Regions from separate parts of the Mus musculus genome. Here all the other regions are reported to be linked to region 2. The links are microRNA targets in miRTarBase. Many come from high-throughput screens and were not tested one by one. Region 2 holds a microRNA gene; each other region holds the end of a gene's coding sequence.
The links. The annotated mature microRNA mmu-miR-1971 reads GUAAAGGCUGGGCUGAGA and lies in region 2 at 2,962-2,979, shown strand. An mRNA with a match to its seed (bases 2 to 7 or 8) in the 3' UTR can be bound and repressed. Matches are read on the target gene's strand: a 7mer-m8 pairs with bases 2 to 8, a 7mer-A1 pairs with bases 2 to 7 and ends in A, and an 8mer does both.

Region 1: the mRNA of Asb3 is a reported target of mmu-miR-1971. Seed matches in the 3' UTR shown: 7mer-A1 at 4,477-4,483 and 7mer-A1 at 3,988-3,994.
Region 3: the mRNA of Fndc7 is a reported target of mmu-miR-1971. Seed matches in the 3' UTR shown: 8mer at 1,250-1,257, 7mer-A1 at 2,816-2,822 and 7mer-A1 at 2,970-2,976.
Region 4: miRTarBase lists Hpgds as a target of mmu-miR-1971. Seed matches in the 3' UTR shown: 8mer at 1,624-1,631 and 7mer-m8 at 2,264-2,270.

Annotation. Positions count from the first base shown.
Region 1 is chr11:31,100,371-31,105,732 of GRCm38, reverse strand. It overlaps Asb3 (ankyrin repeat and SOCS box-containing 3), which reads right to left. Exons shown (of 10, transcript NM_023906.3): 10 at 3,029-4,696. The coding sequence ends at 4,491. Among named protein-coding and RNA genes, the nearest start is that of Gm40822, 67 kb to the left of the region's middle.
Region 2 is chr14:78,189,068-78,194,429 of GRCm38, reverse strand. Mir1971 (microRNA 1971) reads left to right here and starts at 2,952; the gene lies at 2,952-3,057.
Region 3 is chr3:108,851,592-108,856,953 of GRCm38, reverse strand. It overlaps Fndc7 (fibronectin type III domain containing 7), which reads left to right. Exons shown (of 13, transcript NM_177091.5): 12 at 544-605; 13 at 689-3,276. The coding sequence ends at 587. Among named protein-coding and RNA genes, the nearest start is that of Stxbp3, 14 kb to the right of the region's middle.
Region 4 is chr6:65,115,282-65,120,643 of GRCm38, reverse strand. Hpgds (hematopoietic prostaglandin D synthase) reads left to right here. Exons shown (of 6, transcript NM_019455.4): 6 at 556-3,351. The coding sequence ends at 720. It overlaps Smarcad1 (SWI/SNF-related, matrix-associated actin-dependent regulator of chromatin, subfamily a, containing DEAD/H box 1), which reads right to left. Exons shown (of 24, transcript NM_001355250.1): 24 at 4,595-5,362. Among named protein-coding and RNA genes, the nearest start is that of Hpgds, 27 kb to the left of the region's middle.

The sequences.
Region 1 (5,362 bases), not on the chromosome of region 2:
TTCTGTCTCTCTGACTACACACACAGACACACACAGACACACAGACACACAGACACACAGACACACAGACACACACACACACACACACACACACACACACACACACACACACACACCAGAGCTACAGAAAGCGTTATCTGGACTAAGCAAGGGCTGGGGAAATTGGCAGTTAACTATGACTGTGCAGGCTGGCGTTGAAGACACTACTACAAAGATTCTCAGCTTGGCCACACTGAGTTCAACAGGAATTTCTCACTCTCATCTAGAGCATCCAAAGAACTGTGGAGGCAAGGTGAAAAGCTGGATACACTATGAATGGAGACCGAAGACATTTTTATGATAAAAGCTGAAGGAATCAAGTTATTCTCAGAAAGATAAGTATCACTTTCTCTTTTATTTGTAGTTTTAAGCTTTTATATATAGATACATAAAATCATGTTTGTGTATGTAACATGATGTAGGAACAAAACTACTGAGGAGTACAAGGCGACTAACAGGAAGAAAAGGAGAGAATTAGAGTGTAAGAGTTTGTGCTGGAAGTACATTATATGCTTGTCCAAATGCCATGAGGATTTGAGTATTTTATTGTCTTAACAGTAAGTAACAGTTTGTAAGAAACACAAAATTTAAACCTCACATTACTAACTGATGTATATATTTATGAGAATGCTAGAGTTGGGAACTGATCTCTTGGCTCCTTTCATTTGATCTAACAACTCAATAACGTTTGAAATATCCTCTCTTTTCAACTGTTCAGTTCAAACCCATTGACAGCTGAACTTTCATGATTTCATTATGTTAGACAAAGATTGTAAATTAGTACCTTATAATGACTTCAGATAAATTTTTATTATCTACACAGGAAAGTAGTGAAGAAGATATACAAACCATTTGATGATAAAAGGGGCATAAGCAGATATCTTCGAGGTCTTGGTGTACGAATGGCAATTCCTACCTGCTCTGTTTCATCAGTTCATGCTGAGCAGTAAAAATCAGCCAAGACACAAAGAAATCACACCAGTATTTACTAGTTGTACCAATTTAAGTTACTTTATAAACCCAGATGCCATGACTCACATCTGTAATCCCAGCTTGCAGGGGATGTAGGTGGAGTGAGTTCCAGGCCAACCAGAGCTATAGTTCCAGAGCAGCATTAGCTACAGTAAGACCATTTCAACACCCCCCCCCCATTAAGAAAAAGCCATCATAAATGCACATATACTGGAGTGGTGCACAAAATATGCAGTTGCGTGGTTACCTTGGACAGAGACCACATGGCTAGAGAACGTCCATCAGGTATTACCTACAATTCCATATTCTTTATATAAATATGAGGCTGGGTTTTTTCCCTTTCTTCGGGTAACCTTAGACAAAGAATTAGCAGACACAGTTTTTTTTCTTTCTTTCTCTCATTCTCACTGCTTCAGAAGTCTATAAGCACTTGACTTTAGCTTGGCTGAAGGTTTCACTGCAATGATTTAAAAAAAAAAAAGAATGGACCAAGAAAAAAAATGTGAAATTGGTTAATTTTAAGTATACATATTTTTAAATTCCTTAACTTTCTGCATAGATTGAAACCATAAAAACCTCAAAGACAAACTAATGGACCTGGACGGGAGGATGAGTTACATCTTCCTTTCTTTCTTCTGTATGGGGAGGTCAGTGTATGTATGTATGTATGTATGTATGTATGTATGTATGTATGTATGTATGTATGTATGTATGGATGTGTGTGTGAAAAGATTCTCTCTCTCTTACAGACACAGACACACATTATTTTTTGAGGACTCATCCATATCCTAGGCTAGCCTCTAACTGGCTATGTACTCGAGCATAGCCTCGAATTTATGATCCTCCTGCCTCCACCTTTAATTTATTAATATCCTATATTTTCTTTTCATATCAAATACTTAAATATCATTACCCTTATTTCCAGGAGGATTTGTTAAAAGATTAGCATAGTAACCAGTTAATAAATGTCCTTCAATTAACACATTATTCACCAAAGCAACTCCACAATATCATTTAAAATCTACACACAACTTATTCAAAGTAATTCTTCATTAAAAATATAAACATATGCTGACCTCATAGTGAACCACTGATGTTAATTCAGTTGAGGCTGTACCATATGTTACAGAAAAAAAAAAGCATGCACAGTTCCATCTAATTAAAATGGTAGGATTTCATTGGACAAAATAATTGTTTATTTGCTGCAAGACATTATGCACCAACAATCATTTGTCATTTAATAAAGCAGTAAAAATGATAGATTGAAAACAAAAACCCAGCAATTGGGCCTTGTAGGTGAGAACAAAAGAGAGAAAACAAACCAAAAAAACAAAACAAAACAAAAAACCAAACCTGTAATGTCAGAGTTACTAAGTTTTCCTTGTAGTTGTTTGTTTAGAAATTTCTTTTTAAAAGGCAAGAAAAATGGAAATAGCATGATTATAAAATTACTATGCTAGTGTGTGCAAGTTGTCAAATATGACCATATTTAACTAAGAAACACTGCCTCCTCCCAAAGGGAATGTGTTCCTGAGATGCCTGAGGCCCCCACTGGCTCTCATCAGAATGCAGGAGTTTTCAAATAACTGCTTCAAGTCCCATGAAGACCTAAGTAATGGACCTCCTGGTATCAGTTTTACCCACATGTAACTCCTGACACAATTACATGTGCCTGGAAAAACAGGTATACACATCCACCCACTGAAGATATAAGCCAATGTGTTTAATGTTCTTGGTTTCTCCAGTACTTAACTATGAGTACTAATGCCCTCTACAGTCACCCTCCAGTCACATGGCTGGCCAGGTGTCACAACTCATTATCACTGCTCAGCATCATCAGAATCCAAGAGAATCTCATACTATGTATTGCTGCCTTAGGAGACGATCAAGCTTCAAAGTGCAGTTTCTATGAGATGCTGGTCACCTTTCCACTACTATAAAGTCAAAAACTCATCAGCCAGGGGCTATCTGTATTGACTTTCAGAGCTTCAAAAAGAAAACCACAATAATAACTTATGGGAAATCAGGGTTTTATAATACATTTGGACATGAACAAAATACATTAAAAGGTAAACTCTTTTAAAGCACTCTATATACACTTGGCCATAAGCAAAAACAAAACCTGATACAGAGTTTGAAAAATAAAAGTCACATTATTTTAAAAATAAAATTTTAAAAGTTTGGAATATCTTTATTAACCAGAACTATCAGAATTTCTGCCTACTTTTCAATACCTAACTTTATATCCTCACAAAACAAGACTTGAATGTAAAGATGAGCTTGTCTTCCCAATCAGTTATCAGTAAGACATTATGCTTCTTTCAAGGGCTTATCAAAATGCGACCAGCTGATCTACCCAGTCTCAGGTTGCTGGCAAGAGATGAAGGCTTGCCTCCTTTAGAAACCAGCCTGTTCTGTCTATATTGACAGCAACACTCTAGTACCTTCTTAAGGCTAGTTTCCAATTCCCTAAATAACTGATTTGATCATGTTTGATTTTTCTTGACTCGAGGTTTAAATAAAATAGTTGTAAAAATTCACAAGGCAGTAGTATTCTGAGGTCCATATTTCATCCACGATCTGAAAATACATCCAGACATTAAGAAAAACATTATATTGATGTGATATAATTGACTATTGGTGACTAACAGGAACAAAGCTGCTCTCTTATTCTGGAGCTGAATGAAGCCTGGCTATTATATTTAGCATTAAATTAATAAAGTGTGCATTCTTTCCCTATAGATAGTGCTGTATGAATGTCCTTTTCAGGTTTCTTTATTAATATTCTAAGTGCAGTAAAATACTTCTAAAGATGACATAAAATAGTTTATGCTGTGTATGACTTTGAGTTTAGATGTGTTCTTGTCTTTGCAAACTAAAAATCAGGTATCTTTTGCCAAAAGTATAAAGAAAGAATGAACCTAGGGGGCGAGAGATCAACAATATGACTGACTTTTTATGTTCTTTTTTTTTTTTTTAAAGGACTCCTGATTTTACATGTGAAAATGCAAGAGTATCAACACCTCACAAAAATGTTTGAATTAAGGACTGAGAACAGATTATAACATGGAGGAAAGTTTCCTCTTAATAAACATTGAAGATATTCATCCCTAAGTAAAATAATAATGAAATATAATTCAAAAGGACAGATGTTATAAATTCTTCTGGGGAAATTTATGGATTCTATCCTTAGATTCTAGCACAGGTGAACATGAATCCTAAGTAGAAAGAAGTCACATCCAGCACCACATCAGAATTACAGTTTATTAGCAGAATAAAGTAGAAAATGGTCAGGTAAACAAATAATACACAACAAAGTGCACTAGAAATAAAACTGAGTAAGGCAAGATGGATAAGGTTCACAATATTGGGAAAGACACAAACTGGGAAAAGCAACTGTAAACATGGACATTTGATCACCAAATCCAAACAGTCACACAAGCCGTCTTTTGTGACTAAACAGAATTAAAGGACCTGTGTCAGGTGGCCTTGCTGGTTTCTCCATCCTGATTAGCTGCTGGTTCTAGAATCTCATTCATTCTTAAAACCTCTTCATAGAGCAAATAGTTCTGCAGACTTCTGGGAAGTGGCAACTGATGGATGAAAATGTCAGAGTGAAGGTGCTCTGCTTTTAGACTGGCCCGAATTTCCAAACGACAAAGATGGGTTAGGCTTGGAACAGAGGCTGGAGAAACAAACAAACATAATTTTCACTAACAGTGGACTGAATAAATGGTTGGAAAAGTAATAGCTCTTGTTGTGAAAGCATGACGACCTGAGTTTGAACTTCAGAAACAATGGAAAAGCCACAGTGGCGGCCAGCACCTCTTACCCAGACAAAAACAGGAGCATCAGTGTAGCTTGCTGGCTACCTCCAGATCCAATGAGAGACCCTGTATCAAGGCAAGTGATATACTAACATCCTCCTGTGGCCCCCAACATGTACACACTATCATGAATACTTACAAAACATACACATACACACAAGCAATACATTAAGATAAGCATCCAGCCCATTTTATACAATAAAAAAGAAACACTACGTTGCTTAGCTCATTTTGAAAGAAGACTACTGGTTCAGCATGACTACATGAAACGTGTATGTACTTTTTCCACTTGCTTGATCTCACTTCAATTGGTCACATACTCAAGTCAGCATCCAGAGACAGAAAAAATAAGTCTTTAAATTTTAATAATCTGACAACACAAGCTAACACTTAAGAAAACCCTAAGTAGAAATTGCTATTTCCCTCTTAGTCTGTTTTACTACCAAAGGTTCTGAACGTAACACATGAAACCGAGGGATGTGCAGCCTGACCATTTCCTCTTTGCATCTATGACAGAAAATAAA
Region 2 (5,362 bases):
ATATTTAGGAAGCGATAATATTATATTATCATTGGCAAACAGACAAAATCTATTTGAACCCAAGAATCTACAAATAAGTTTAGAACTATCCACAATACCATTTGATGGCTCATTTATATGTATTAAAAATGATATCAGAGGCTAAGGATGGAATAAAGGTACAAGACTGAAAAGCTGACCTGAAATACATAGTTTTCAAGAAAGTTAGGAAGCTGACCTCTGCTGTGGTAAATCTCCAACTCAAAAAAAGCCCAGGCAATGAAAACACAACTCAATTAATATGATTACATGCTGTGTTGTGTGCCTACATTGGGCAGATCTGCCACTACACTACCATCTTCCACATCTATGAGACCCCTTAGAACTTGTGGTTTCTCCAGGCCATGAGCTTCTGCTCTACTTGCCTTCTACCTCCTCCTCCATCCTCCTATCTCTCTCTCCCTTTCTCCCAAAACCTTCAGCTCCACCTTCCCCTCTTTCTCCGTCCAATCATCAGCTCTCCTTTATTTTACAAATTAAGGTGGGAAGCAGGTTTACAGGAAATGAGTGCCGACTCATTCCTTATTTGCAGCCCCGCACTGGAGAAAGGAATTAACATAAAATATAATAAGCCCCAGGCTATCCGCAACAGACCTCTAACTAAAGAATGAAGTCTGAGCATAGCGTTTTCCATCCTCCCCTTCCCTCTTCCTCAAATTATAGCAGCACTAAATACAAATAGAAATAACAATGGAAAAGTGAGAAAAATTAGAAATACTGAATTTAAGGAAGATACAATAAAGCTTTATGATACAGTAGCTAGTAAACATAAAAACAAGAGTATTCTCATATAGTCAAGGAATCTGCCAATGTTCTTCCCATATGAAAATATTGCTCAGGGAAATGGTTCAGTAAAGGCAGGAAGGAGACTGAGAAATGAGGAGCAGACGTACAGACACAAGGTGGATAATTAGAAGTTCATTGAAAGCAGTGCCCTTAAAAGCTCTCTACAGCAGCCACAGAAGGGAGATCACACAAGGTAAAGCGTTCATGGTGGCTCTGTGCTGACTTCTTCACGAAGAGAAGACATTGCACAAAACACAGGTGTTTAAATAGCCGGGTAAAGACATGTACATCTCTTTTTAACACGAGGAAGTTTTTATGGAGAAGAAAAGCCTGAGAAGAATGTTAAAACTCAAATTAAGAAAATCAGATGGATATTAAGAAAACAAATAACCCAATTAAAAGTGGGGTACAGACCTAAACATGGATTTCTCAACAGAGGAAGTTCAAATGACCGAGAGACCCTTAAAGAAATCCTCAACGTCTTTTGCCATCAGGGAAATGCAAATCAAAACTACTTTGAGATTCCATCTAACACTTGCCAGAATGGCTAAGATCAATAAAACAAGTGACAGCCATTCTGGAGAGCATGTGGAGTAAGAGAACACTCCTCCATTGCTGGTGGGAGTGCAAACTTGTACAGCCACTATAGAAATCTGGTTGGTAGTTCCTGTGGAAGACGGGAATCAGTCTACCTCAAGATTCAGCTGTACCACTCTTGGGCATTTACCTACAGAATGCTTCATCCTATCACAAAGACACTCGTTCAACAATGTTCATTGCTGCTCTATACATAATAGCTAGAAACTGGAAACAACCTAGATGTTCCTCAACAGAAGAGTGGATAAAAATATGTGGTTCAGCTTATATTACTCAGCCATTTAAAAAAAAATTACACCATGGAATTTGCAGGCAAATAGATGAAAATAGAAAATAAATCAACCTGAGTGAAGTATCCCAGACTCAGAAAAAGTATTCACTTATATGTGTATTCACTTATATGTGGGTATTAGCTGTTAAGTCAGGTGACTCGAAGCATGAAGACCCAATGTAAGTGTAGGTGGCACCTTCTGGTGGCAGTCCAGATAAAGGACATGGAGAAAGGAAACTTTGCTCTTTGCCTGCTGGTCTTCACTCTCACTCTCTCACTGGAAAGTCATTTATCCCCTGTCACTGTGGAATTCCCCACCAATACTAATACCACATACATATACATGTGAACACACACAATGCAACACACAAACATACACATGTGTACACACACATGTACTCATACACACATACACACGTATACATACACACACACTCACACACAAATGAACCCATCCACTTGTATACAGACTTTGGATTATATCCTTGGAGGACAAGCTGAGTATGTTGTCTATGTGGGAAAGAATAAGGATGCAGAGAAACCAAGAAGGGCAGTTTCTATGGTCTGTTCAGCAGCTACTCCCTATTTTATACATTTCTTTTCAGGCATATTCAAGTCATGTTCACGAATTAGGATACCTCAGGGACTTATACCCAGCTTAGGCAATGCATGTTGATCCAGTTAAGCCAATGTGTCAACTATTCTCTCTTTGTAGTTAGCTTAAGGATGGAACAGACTGCAATCCTGGCCAATGAGGACCAAGGGGAAATCTTCCTAATAAAACTTCTAGAAAAACAAAAAAGCCCTCATTCTATAAACGTGACAAAGTCCCATTTGATCCTCTCCATCCTTGCATGCTGTTTTATAAAGCATGGTTTCTAAAACTCCAATAGTTGGGTTGTAACTATGAGAGAAAGGCATGAGAATTACAGAAAATTATGCCCAAAGGCTAAGCATTCTTTAGATTCAAAATAACTGACAGAGCATACTTATTATGTGACATAATAAACCCATTATTGTATAAGGGACTTTCAGCTGGTATCAAAAGACAGAATTATAAAACATTTAGTTATAAATCTAATTGGTTTTTATTTGTAATTCATGGATCTGAGGCAGCCCCCATTCTACCAAACAGAATGAAAAACTCCTGCTACACAATGGCAGAAGAGGGGTTACAAAGAAATAGGACATGGGAGATAAACCAAGAGGTTGGCATCATGTCACTTCAGGTTAGATGTACATGCTCTTGATGTACAGGGCATCATTTGGTAAAGGCTGGGCTGAGAGGACATCTTTGTTCCATGGACCCAGTAGATAGGCAGCTTCTGCTTCCAGGAACAACTTGTCTGTTTTTCAGTCTATCTACTTCCTAAAATTTCAATTTGCTCACATAGCACTTAAGAGAAGAGCTCTCATTTTGTTTTTGCTTTTTGTTTGTTCGTCTGTCTGTTTGTTTGTTTTCTGTTTTGTTGGGATCTGGTGCAGGAACTCAGCTGGAAATAATAGGCTTCCATGATTTTTTGTGTGTTTGTTTGTTTGTGTGTTTGTTTCAAGACAGGGTCTCACTATGTAGCTCTGACTGTTGGAACTCACTAGGTAGACCAGGTCGGTATTGAACTTAGAGATCTGCTTGCTTCTGCCTCCAGAGTGCTTGGATTAAAGGTGTGCACCACTATGTCTAGCTCTTCCATAATGTTTACCACAAGGTATTCAAATACCTGCAGCCAGTGGTGAGCTAATGAAAAAGCAATGTTGTCAATGTTATTTTATTTATTTACTTATTCATTTATTTTGTGCATAAATGTGCATGTTCACATGCAGAGGCCAAAGACCCACCATGGGTGTTCCTAAGGTGCTAAACACCTTTTGCATTTTTTGAGACAGAGTCATCTTCTAGCCTAGAACTTGTCAAATAGACTACCCTGTCTATCTGGCCTGCGAGCCTCAGGAATTTGTCTCCATTCAGTCAGTGCTGGAATTAGAAGTGGTATTGCTAACTTGGCTATTCTTTACTTGAATTCTGGGTATTGAGATTTCAGAAAACCCTTTACTGACTGAGCTATGCTTTGAGCCCTGTTTGTTCCTTTCAATAATTAGAGTCATCATATAAAAAGATTTTAAAAGATTTATTTATTTCATATATGTGCATATACTGTCACTGACTTCAGACACATCAGAAGGTGATATTGGATGCCCATTACAGATGGCTGTGAGCCACCATGTGGTTCCTGGGAATTAAACTCAGGACCTCTGGAAGAGCAGTCAGTGCTCTTAACCACCAAGCCATCTCTCCAGCCCAGTACTCAGTACTTATATGGCCCAATATAAACATTGTGACCTTTGGCTCAGAATTTGAAGCTTTGGTACATCATTTTCAGGCAGTTTCAAGCCCAAGACTAATGAGTTCTTGTGTGTATCCATTTACTGCTGTTTGTTTCTCTGCCTCCACCATAACAAACACAGCTGACCCGATGGCAATGCAGAGACATGCAAGATCCTGTCTCTTTCATGCCTTCTTGATGTACAGAGAATCATTAGTGTTGACATTCAAAGCAAACTTTGGACAGAGGTTGGTCCATCTGCCTTTCCAGATGATCTCAAGCTGTCTCCTGTACATGTGAGCAGCATAGCCAGGGGCAGTAGAGCTTCATGAACATCTGGCTACCTGATGGAAAAATCAGTTCCAGGTACCAAAATTCAGGGAGCCTCAACCTCCTAGAACAATGCGTAGGATTTGCATATAACCTCCGCACAGCTTCATATACAGTTTAAATTGTCTCTAGCTTGCAGTGAATGTACACTCTAAATATCTGTTAGCCTGCACTCTAGGGAGGGGCATGATAATGTCAATAAGTGTGTCCCTGAGCAGTGTAAACTCTAACTCCTTTGAATAATGCCTGACTTATGGTTGATTGAATCTGAAGATAGAGATCCTGTGGGTATGGGGGGTAAACTAGGTTCCAGAAGCAAAACCAATAACTGCTGCCCATCTTGCATGCCACTTGAGCATCTCTGGGTGTTTGTTATGCAACACGTTTTTGACAAATCTGACACACACACATGTATCCTGCTCTCACCTGTTCTAATTTCCCTCCTGTTAGGTACCCAGTAGAATTATTTTTCTCAGTCTCTTTAACTTAAGCACATTACAAGAAATAAAACAAATAGATTCAATATGGGGTTTTCCTGAGTGGACATGCTTAGTTTAATTACCTATGTAAGACAAGGAACTCATCACCTGTCCAAGGAATGATGGTTGCTAGGATATAATAAAGGGAGCCACCACTGGCCTTGGTCCCCAAGTGAACAAGACAGGTAGAAACTTCCTGGGGAAACTGGGCCAATTCACTATGTAATGATGCTGTGTGTGTTAAGAGGTCACTTGGAGCACTGCTCATTAGCACAGTACAATGAAGCCAGTTTCTAAAGATCTCAGATCCACTGGAAAGATCGTGTTGAAGTTTGGACCTGAAGGTGAAGGGGTAATCTGTGTCCTATCCAGGAGGAAAATGTTCTAGGTAGAGAGAAGAACAGATGCAAAGGCCCTGGGGCAGGTATATACCCGGTGTGTCCCAGAAGACCTAACCAGTGATGTGAGAGCAGGAGAAGCAGGAAATGATGGCAGAATCAAAAGGTCTTGCCATTCATTCTAGAGAGTTTGGTTTTTAA
Region 3 (5,362 bases), not on the chromosome of region 2:
GTTGCTGGAAACCTGATGCCTGGCTAGAGGAGAAAGTGACAGGTGTGGGGTCTGTGTGCCCTGTGTGGTATCCTTCTCCTTTGGTACCCAGCCAGCTTCAGTGTCACCTGCTCATCCTGTGGAGCTTTGGAGACTTTCTTCCCCACGACATCTTTAGCAGTTGAAGGTTCATGTTCACCTTGTGCAAATGTCTGAATGAATGAAATAGTGGAGGTTTTTTTTTTTGGGGGGGGGAGTGGAGGGCACAGCAAGTTGGCCTGAGGGTAAAAGAAATATCCCTCATCCAATCAGTACTGTGAGCCCAGGGATATTTAGAGGATTCACTTCGTGAAGCAGGGGTTTAGTCACGCTGGTTTGTCAGAAACTTCTGGTCGCTTTGAACAGTTTGGTAGCTCACGCTCCTCTTTGCTTGCTGTGAAGTGCTATAAAAAAACAGCTTTCTGAATATTGACAGTAACAAATTTTCAGCACTTAAGCAATGTCTGAGTTTGTGACACAGCCTCTGTGTCCTCTTCCCTGTCCCTTTCTTCCCTGTCCCTTTAGTGATTTACAGAGGGAAGAGGAACGATACAGCGAGCCCCAGGTAAATACAGATACTCCACAAGGTGAGCAGAGAGCATTAATTCTTTCTGATTCCACAGCAAGATTTTGTCCTCTGTTTTGAAAATTCTCCTCACTTCCCTTCCAGGGTCCCTGTGTTGTTAGTGAGCAGCCATGGAAACTCGCTATTAGAACACAATGTACCGTAGGATAGGCAAAGCTCCTTTGCGCTTTAAAGGAGGAACTCAGACTGTTTGGAGAGGACAAGGTCAAGTGTGTCGTTGGCTGCAAAGAAGTTCAAGATGAGCTGTGGAGAGGAGGGGACTCCACAGAGGAAAGGCCCAGAAAGTCCCCTGGAAGGTTGCCAGACTGAGTCAGCACACTGTCACAGCCTGGATGCATAAAAGCCACGCTTAGCAGAAACTTGTTTGGGGGCTTCATATCCAGACACACCACAGAATGTCGCCTATCCCAAAGCCACGTAGCCCAGGCTGGCCTTGAAGTCTCAGTCCTTCTGCCTCAACCTCCCAACGTGTCGGGTTACGGGCATCCACCATTATGCTCCATCACAAACTTTAATACTTCCTGGCCAGGGGTCTCTCAAAAGCTTCCCTACAGCATCCTCTCCGCAGAAGTATGGAATTGCACACCCTCAGTCAAGCCATCCTCCAGAGGACAGCATTCGCCCCCAAGACAGGCCTTTGTTGAGGCCTTTAAGCTTGAGTCTAGAGCAGCTGCTGCTAGGGCAACTGTGTGGTAACAAACGCCTTCGGCCCAGGTTCCCGGGGAAGCTGAGCTGCCTGCAGACTTCACTGAGTCAGAGAGCGCCATGTGAGCAGACATCTGCCAGAGCCTTTGGGAAAGCAGAAGCGTAGGTCTGTGGCTGGAAAGACTGTCATCACGCTCTCGGAGTGAGCAAAGACGTCAGGCGGAGCAGCAGCCAAGGGCAAAGAGTCTCAGACTGTGACAGGCTGACATGCACACACAGCCTTTCAGGGTTCATGGATCTCGCAGTCTGTTCTCTATGCTCTGCGCACATTGTAATGGCTTCCTTCCGCGATCCGAGAGAAGAAAACGGTGGATATATAACATCAATCTGTTGTACCTAGAACAAATGTTTGTCTGTCTGATGCCAGAAAAGTAATTTTAAAATAGCATGAGTATGATTTGTGTCACGAGTTCTCAAAGGCATGGCTGTAGTGTGTGAAAGGGTGGCTCAGTGGTTAAGAGAACAGGCTGTTCTTGCAGAAGACTCGAGTTCCATTCCGAGCCCTCTCATGGCAGCTTATAAACATCTGTAACACTGGTTTGGGGTGAGGGTGGTGGCGGTGGGGGTGGGCCATACCCTCTGTCTTCTGGCCTCTGAGAGCATCAGGCACCAAATGGTGCACACGCAGGAAACTTAGACACGAGGCCAGCAAGGAAGAGAGCGCAAACTTCCTCTCCTGCATCTTCTTTCCATGTATGAGGGCACATGCCGGTAATCTCAACCCTCAGGAGTCTGAGGCAGGAGGATCATGAATTCAAGGCCAGCTTGGCACACATCCTGAAATGTCTCAACAAACAAATCAGGGATGCAAAAACGTTTCGCTGACAAAGAGATTTTATTACTATCAAGTATCCACTTTTAAAAAATTTATGTTTTATTTTACATAGATGAATGTGCTGCCAGAATGTATGTCTGTGCACCACATGGGTGCCTGTGGAGACCGGAAGAGGACATGAAATCCCTTGGGATGGGAGTTACAGGTGGTTATGAGCCGCCTTATAGGCACTGGGAACTGAGCTCAGGGTCTCTGCAAGAGCAGCAGGTGCTCTTAATCAATGAGCCATCTCTCCAGCCCCTGTTTATTTTTTATGGTTTCATACACATATACTTTGCATTCTGAACACTCACCCCTCCACACACACACACACATCTCTACTACCTCTGCCCGATCCCCCCCACCCTCCACCAATCTCGCTTGTGTTCCTGGATGTTTCGTTTAGTGTCCCAGAAAGATTTGCCAGGACCATCTGTGGGGTGTGATGGGCTCAGCAGAGGACACCCAAGTAAAGACCACATCCCTCCTCTCAGAGGATCGACTGATAGCCCATGCTTCAGAGGTAAAGGGTGGGGTCTCATAAGCCCCTGGATAAAGAGATCTTTCCCAGAGACAAGCCAGTTCTAAAAGTGGAGTTAAATGTCTCAAGTACACAAATGGAAGGGGGTTGAGTTTTGTTCACTTAAAAAAATTTTTTTTTGTTTTGTTTTTGCCAGTCAGAATAGTGCACACCTTTAATGCTAGCACTCAGGAGGCAAAGATAGGTGGATGTCTGAGTTTAAGGCTAGCCTGGTCTACCTAGGGAACTCCAGGCCCGAAAAAGCTAGCTAGTGAGACCCTGTCTCAAAAAAAAAAAATGTTTTTAGCTGGGTACAGAGATGTATACCTTTAATCCCAGCTCTTAGGAGGCAGAGTCAGGTGGATCTCCATGAGTTCGAGGCCAGCCTGGACTAGACAGTGAGTTACAGGACAGCCAGGGTTATAGAGAGACCTGTCTCAAAAACAAACAACAACCAATCTAGCCAGTAGTGCCGCAGACCTTTGATCCCAGCAATCAGGAGGCAGAGGCAGGCAGATCTCTGAAATCGAGGCTAGTCTAGTCTACAAAGCAAATTCTAGGACAAACAGGGCTATATAAAGAAACCTTGTCTTAAAAAAAATAAAATAAAATAAAAATAGAACAGAACAAAACAAAACAAAAAAATGTTTTTCATGTATTTAATTAATTTTTGTCAATGAACAACATAAGCCTCATTATGAAGAGCTCATATGTACATTATTACACTGACCTCATGTTCAGCCCTATTATCTTCCTTAGTCCCACTCCACAGCTCTCTTCTGGTTTCTGAATACCACAGAGGGAACAACTGTTACTCACATAGATTCCCAGCTGTCATTCTAGAGACATATATTAATTAGATATTTGGATCAGGCCTGGAAATGGCAGTTAGGGTGGTTGTTTTTTCATGATCACCAAAGGATTCTGACATGCAGAAGTTTGGAACTGCCTTGGTGGATTATTTTCTTGAAGTAAGATTTCAGTGATGAGAAGCTGAGATGATGGAGGCCCGTGGCCTGTGAAGAAAGCCTCATGAGCCCCACAGTGCTCTCGGGAGTTCCTTGTTTTGCTGGGGAAAGCCTAGTGGAAGAGACATGAAACCATATTCTGGGCTCACATCTGGGGTTGTGTCCATGTGAGACTGTGTGCTATATCAGCTGACAGTAAGGTACCTTCAGAATGGTACCTCAGAATTAGGGCTGACTAGAAGAAACAAGCAGCTTAGACCAAATGGAAGGCCAGCATCTCTGTTCTCAGAGATCTGTGCAAGAAAATGGCCATATCCACTTAGCTATGTGTCTAAGGCTAAGCTGCACTAGATAGATTTCCACAAAAGCCATGTGGTCCACCTTGGATGAGGACAAAATTAATGTATACTTACTGCATTTACTTAATATGTGTAATATTAAGCACAGGGCACACACTGCTAACAGCTTTCTTCATACTCATTTTGTAAGGGCCCATGATTTGGCGAAAAAATTACACCCCAGACTCAAATAGTATGTAAATGCAAAGAACGTTTTATTCTGCAGAAGTTCAGCATGCTGAGGTCTCCAAGATAGAGAGACAACCAAGTGAGCTTGCAGGCATGATTCAAAGCACATTAGGGGATTTTGGAGTAGGTGACTGTCGGTCTGTGTACCAGAGATCTCTGGGCTGGCCTGGTGGGAGGGTTCAAGCAAAGGGGAAAGGGCACAAGTTGGGAGCCGCAAGTGCTTCTGCCAACCCCCCTCCACACCCCACACCCCCCCCCTGCTGTTGCTGCTGCTGCTGCCCCAGCAGCAGCTGTTGCTCCAAAGCATTGCAGTGTTTGTGCTGAGCCAAGCAAAGCCAAGCTGAGTTGGCAGAGGGCTGGCCAGTGAGAGAGCTGAGTGCAGGGGAGCTTCTGCTGGCGAAAGCTTCCAGGAGAGCGTTCTCTTCCCAGGCAGTGTTACAGCTCTTGTGACAGATGCTCTCAGATGATGGAGTCATTCTCACACACCTTTATTCCTTCTGCATAGGATCTTATGTGCAGTTCTGGGGTGGGGTGGGTCTGACAGCAAGTGCTTCCTATTGGCTTGGCCAGAGATGCCTCATCTACATGAAGAAGGGCTTAGGGGTGCTGCCCCATGGGGTTGATGGCCACGATTCTCTGTATGGGGAGCTGTGACTACATGACAGGGGCCTGGTGCCCTTCAGGGTCCCCTGGGGCTTCAAGCCTTAGCTCAGCCTTGCCAGGCTTCCTCTCACACCTGCCCTAATTCCAGGGCCCCCAGTTGAAGCTCTCTTGTCTGCTTAACTATGCTATGCCAGTGCTGCGCTTCCTCTCTGGCCAGGGTTGTGTTTTTGCCTTCATTCCAATGTGTCATGTTCAAGGAATCAATGCAAACACTCTTCTTAACCTGTGTAGGAGAGCCAACTAGAGGAGACCTGAAGGAACAGCTCAGGGAGATTATGAATCCTACAAGAGAAGGAAGAATTATAGTCTTGGAGCCAGATAGCTCCAGGTCCTAGTTCATCCTGAGATCTTACATGACGTACTTAACTTCCCTCAGCCTTTTTTTTTTTTCTTCTCACTTGTAAACCAGCAATAAAGATTGTCATCTTGCTGGGATTTATACGGTTTTAGATATGCATTCAAGGGCTTCAGAGATAACTCCGTGGGTAAAGCCTTTGCTGAGTTAGCAGAAGGACCTGAGTTTGGATGAAAAGCTGGGTAAACATTGGGAATGGTGGTGTG
Region 4 (5,362 bases), not on the chromosome of region 2:
GAAGGGATAACCTACGCACTATTTATTCCTTTGTACCTTAAAACGCAAAGGTACAAGGTACACAACATAATGAAATAATCACAGATCCCCTCACAAACAGCACATTTACAGGACTAGTGTGGAATCATCAATGGTGACATACAAAAAGGAGCATGCCATTCCCCATCACAGGACATGTACACACCTGGGAGGAGCCCACCTCTTCCTACAGAGGGCTTTTGGAACAGATGGAAATCTGTTAGGTCAGGCTGGTAGAGAGTGGACAGGGCTTCAAAAAAGTGTAGCACTGGACCATCAGCTGCCAGCCGCCTGTCTCAGGCATCTCCACTTAGTTGCAGACAGTAGTCATTTCGATGTTCCTTGGACACTGTGATGCCTGTCGGCTTCCAATTTTATCATGCACATGTTCAGCTTTGTGCCAACAAAGAATTGTTTTGAAATGGAAAGGAAGTGTTCCCTGAGAGTAAGAAAGTAAGTTCACTTTTGGAATGCTTTTTTCTTTTTCTTTTTGTTTTAACATATTCAAAAGCCAAGTCTTTGTTTTCCTTTAAGCAGGTAACCTGGGCAGACTTCTACTGGGATATCTGCAGCACCACACTTTTGGTTTTAAAGCCTGGCTTGTTGGATATCTACCCCAAACTGGTGTCATTACGGAACAAAGTCCAAGCTATCCCTGCCATTTCTGCCTGGATACTAAAGAGGCCACAGACAAAACTCTAGATGAATCAGGACCCATCATCAGATGAGAACTCCATTAGCTGGCTAGAGGATCCACATACTTCTCACCAATAGGACTGTAACTTTGTAGTACTCTGCTTGCTGTGTATAGCAACTCAAGGGGTGTTGCAGTTTTGTCTTTATCTGCAGGCACTTAGTTTCCAATCTTTTATTTTTTCAAAACTTTACACTTTATAATTGCAGGGAAATAGTTCACAATATATGTAGTTGTGCATATCAAGATGTATGGAAGCTTTAAACAACACTAGTTTCCTGGCTAGGGTATCAGTCAACACAGTATCTTAACTATGAGTAAGCATAGTTAACTATGAAATACAGATTTTGCAGCTAGCTCTTCAATCAGCAAATTCCTACACAGAAACTAATGGTCATTATAATGATCACTAACTACTGCATGTTATTCAGGTATACACCAAAGTGTATAAGCTACTTCACAAAAATACACATCTGTCTGACATGTCACAAAATGGGTAATAAAGAAGAAACTCATCAAGATTAAAGGACAGCCAAGAAAAGTGATGTTGAAGTTTAATTGAAATTCCACAAAATGGAGTAACAAAAAGTTACTGAGTTCAGCATTGTTGCAATTCAGAAGGCTGTAGAGACAAGGAAAGGAGCTGTGACATAGAAAGTTCGATACCCCAGAGACAAGAGACAGAGGGTTACAATAATCTTTCACATGAGAAAAACAAAAGCAGGCTGGAGAGATGGCTCAGCAATTAGCACTGACTGCTCTTCCAGAGGTTCTGAGTTCAATTCCCAGCAAACCACATGGTGGTTCACAACTATCTGTAATGGGATCTGATCTTCTGGTGTATCTGAAGAGAACGACAGTGTACTCACATACATACAATAAAGAAATCTAGCCGAGCGGTGGTGGCGCGCGCCTTTAATCCCAGCACTTGGGAAGCAGAGGCAGGCGGATTTCTGAGTTCGAGGCCAGCCTGGTCTACAAACTGAGTTCCAGGACAGCCAGAGCTACACAGAGAAACCATCTCGGAAAACCAAAACAATAGAAAACCAAAACAATAAAGAAATCTTAAAAAACAAACAAACAAACAAACAAAAAACAGTAGACTAAGAAGACTGGGAGAACATGTGTGCAGAACATTCACCTGGTAAAGATTTGTTTAAAATATAAAAGAACTGTGAAAATTCAATAGTAAAAAAAAATAAATACCCAGATTGAAATGTTAGCTGGAAGATACACAGATGGCCATGAGCCTGTGAGGAGGCAGCAATACAGTGGCACTAGGGAATTATAATAGCAGTGCTGACTAGAACAGTAAAATCTCAAGACCAAATAAACACTGGAGAAACACTGAAGTTATGGGACCTGGGGACAGGAATGCAAAAGATGGCACTGAGAGAACTAGTTTCTCAAAAATTAAAATGTCCCCTTCTGTGGGGCCCGTCAGTCTCACATTGTGTATTTACTCAATGAGCATGTCCACACTAAGCTTGAACATATATCTTGGATGCTGCTTCACATACAGCTGCTAAAACTTTAAAAACCTCAAAGATGGCCTTTAGCAGGAAATGCAGAACAATCCTTGGTGCGTACACATCAGGGCTAGTAAGCCACGAACAGTACATGGGTGAGCCAGTGCCACACACAGCTAAGTGAAAGGAGCCAACACAAAAAGGCTCCAACTATGCAAAAGAAGAGGATGAGAAGCTGCCCAAGCCAGTGGTGACATGGGCAAGACGGGAGGCAGATGGGCAGTCCGGGCAGTCTGTTCTGTGGGATGCTGTCAGAGAGAATGAGTACACGTCTTTACATTTATAAACTTACTCAGAATGCAGAACACATGCAAACTGTAGCGTATGTAGCACATGTTAGCAACAGAGGAGACTGTAGGTGTGGGGACAGCAGGAAATGGGACTGCTCCTAGTGTTGCTGTGAACTGAAAAAAACAAACAGTCTGCGATAATTAGTTTTTATTTGCTGACAAAGTGTAATAGATACACAACAGCTTACAGGGAGGGAAGATTTGTGTGGCTCCACTCATTGGCTCCACTGGGTTGGAACTGTGGAGCAGTATGTGCCAAAATGACTGTTTACTTACTCATGGTGGCTGAGAAACAGAGTGGAAAGCACCTCTCTACACAATCTTCTAAACAACAGGCCAGTGAGCTGGCTCCATGGATAAAGGCATTTGGCGCCAAACCCAGAAGGCCTAAGATCAGTCTCTGGCACCTACATAATGGAAGCAAAACACTGACTTTCACCTACTGTCTGTCCTCTGCCCTCCCCTTAAGCACTGTGGCATTTGCACTTATACTCATTTTATTTTTTTTTTTTAAATGCAACCATTTTATTTTTGTTTATAAAGGGTCTCCTAATTAGCAATATTACTCCCCAGGACTGTTTTGGACTGTTTTCTCACTTGGTATCTGAAGGCTGACTGGGATGCACAATGTGGCCCAGGCCCAAGCTGGCACTGCACTCACTGTAATCTCGTTTCCATGCTGCCGAACCTGGATCCCTATTTTAAACTATATTGATGGAATGCACACTTTGCTTTGTATGTTAGCTTCATTAATGTTAATAGTGTGTGTGGTATGTTGCAAAATGTATGGAAATACTAATAAAGATGATCTTGTGCTTTATGTGAGATTCAGAAGAACATATTGCTAAAAGGCAAAAAATAAAAATAAAAAAGGAGATTGTAGGGAGAGAGAAAGAAATACATGTCCAGATAGGTGTGCTCTTATTTAACATCTCTTCTTTTTTTAGAACATTTTCTCTGATTTAACAGGGCTGGGGGGGGGGGGAACAGAGGACAAAATTTTGTATGTTAAACATAAAATGCATGAACTTGATCTTTTAAATAAAATTTTAACATTGGTGGCTGTTAAAATAAAAAAGAATCTCGTTGCATGGGTAGACATTGTGTGATTAAAACAATCAATAGGAAAAAGTCTTTAGGGAAACATACAAACAATGCTTTTAATGAAGGTGGAGATGACCCTGATGCGCAGGTACTTCCCTCTGTATTACCTTCCATAAAAGATTATCCTTTTTGTTTTGTTTTGTTTTTTATTTGGTTTTTCAAGACAGGGTTTCCCTGTATAGCCCTGGCTGTCCTGGAACTCACTTTGTTGCTAGGCTGGCCTCGAACTCAGAAATCCGCCTGCCTCTGCCTCCCAAGTGCTGGGATTAAAGGCATGTACCTTCACTGCCTGGCTAAAAGAGTATCTTTAATGGAAACAGAATTTAGGAAAAGTAATAAACACAATTCCTATGGGAAAAATGGAAACTCAAAATAGTATTACATATTTCTATGATCAGTGTAACATCAGCATGCTCTATAGGGCAGTATTTAACATAGCCACAATGTTAAGTCAGACAGCCACTGAAGAAGGTAGATCCCTTCTTTACAGGCTGCACAAATAGAAACCCAATCTTCTGATCCACCCACACCTTGACTCTATTGGAACTCCTATCGGCGAGTCACCTGTCCAAGACAAGACACATAAGGTGTCTTATTACACATATATGACTTATACTAAAAAAATAAAACCTATTTCATGATGGGTGGTGGACATCTTTAATCCCAGCACTTGGAAGGCAGAGACCAGCCTAGTCAACAGAGTTCCAAGACAGCTAGGTCTATGCCAAGAAATCCTGTTTTATAAAGGAGAAAATAAAAGCCTACCAATGGACTGTGATGTTTAATGACACTGGCCCAATGAAAGGACAATTGAGGATTCATTTTATGTACCAAATCCCTATCCATTGCCAAGCAATATCTTAAACATAAGATGGTCCTGTTTCTGTTCAATATTACATACTTCTCTGGGGAAGGAGAACGAGGGCTAAAAACCATTACAAAGGGTGTGAAATACAACTTAATGATCACAAATATTTTTATTAAACCCAAGACATAATAAAATATTACAGGGAGAATCCAACTACATTTCATTAGAAAAAATTCAGATATAACAACACCACAACCAATGAGCCTACTGTGGGAGACACATTTCACACAGAAAAGTTAAGGGAAATTCACTGTGGGTTTAAAAGGTACAATTTCCAACAACTTGACTAAGCGACCTGGGTACTGTGATCACAAGGAGGTAGCATTAACACCTGCAAATTCCTGGCAGCCCCGTAGTGGGGAGATAAATTTGATACAGTCATATATCTTCAATATTAAATCTACTGAGTCAGGAGTTCAGAGTCTCAGATACCTGAAAAAAAAATAGCACTGTAGGATTGTGTCACCCATCTAAGTGTTTACCTAGCACCTCAGCACTGGGGGTGTCTTGAAAAGTATGAGCTACAATAATTAACAAATCTCTCATTTATAAATAAGTTTATTTATAATGATATTTACATTATAAAACAAAGCACATAAAACTCACAAGTTATACAAAGAATCTGATGTATAATAAAAACAGCAATATAGACTGACAGGCAAAATTTAAATGAAAAGTTAATAAAGACTGAAATACCAAATAGACAATTTTACTTCTAAATTTCACTTTGTCACCCACACTGAACTGGAATTGAACAATGGCTTCTCTTCAGGTGGTTCTGTATTGGAAATCCTGGGAACTGGTAAATTATATTTTGTTAAGAATTTAAAGTTAATGACCTATTTTCATGCAGTATCTA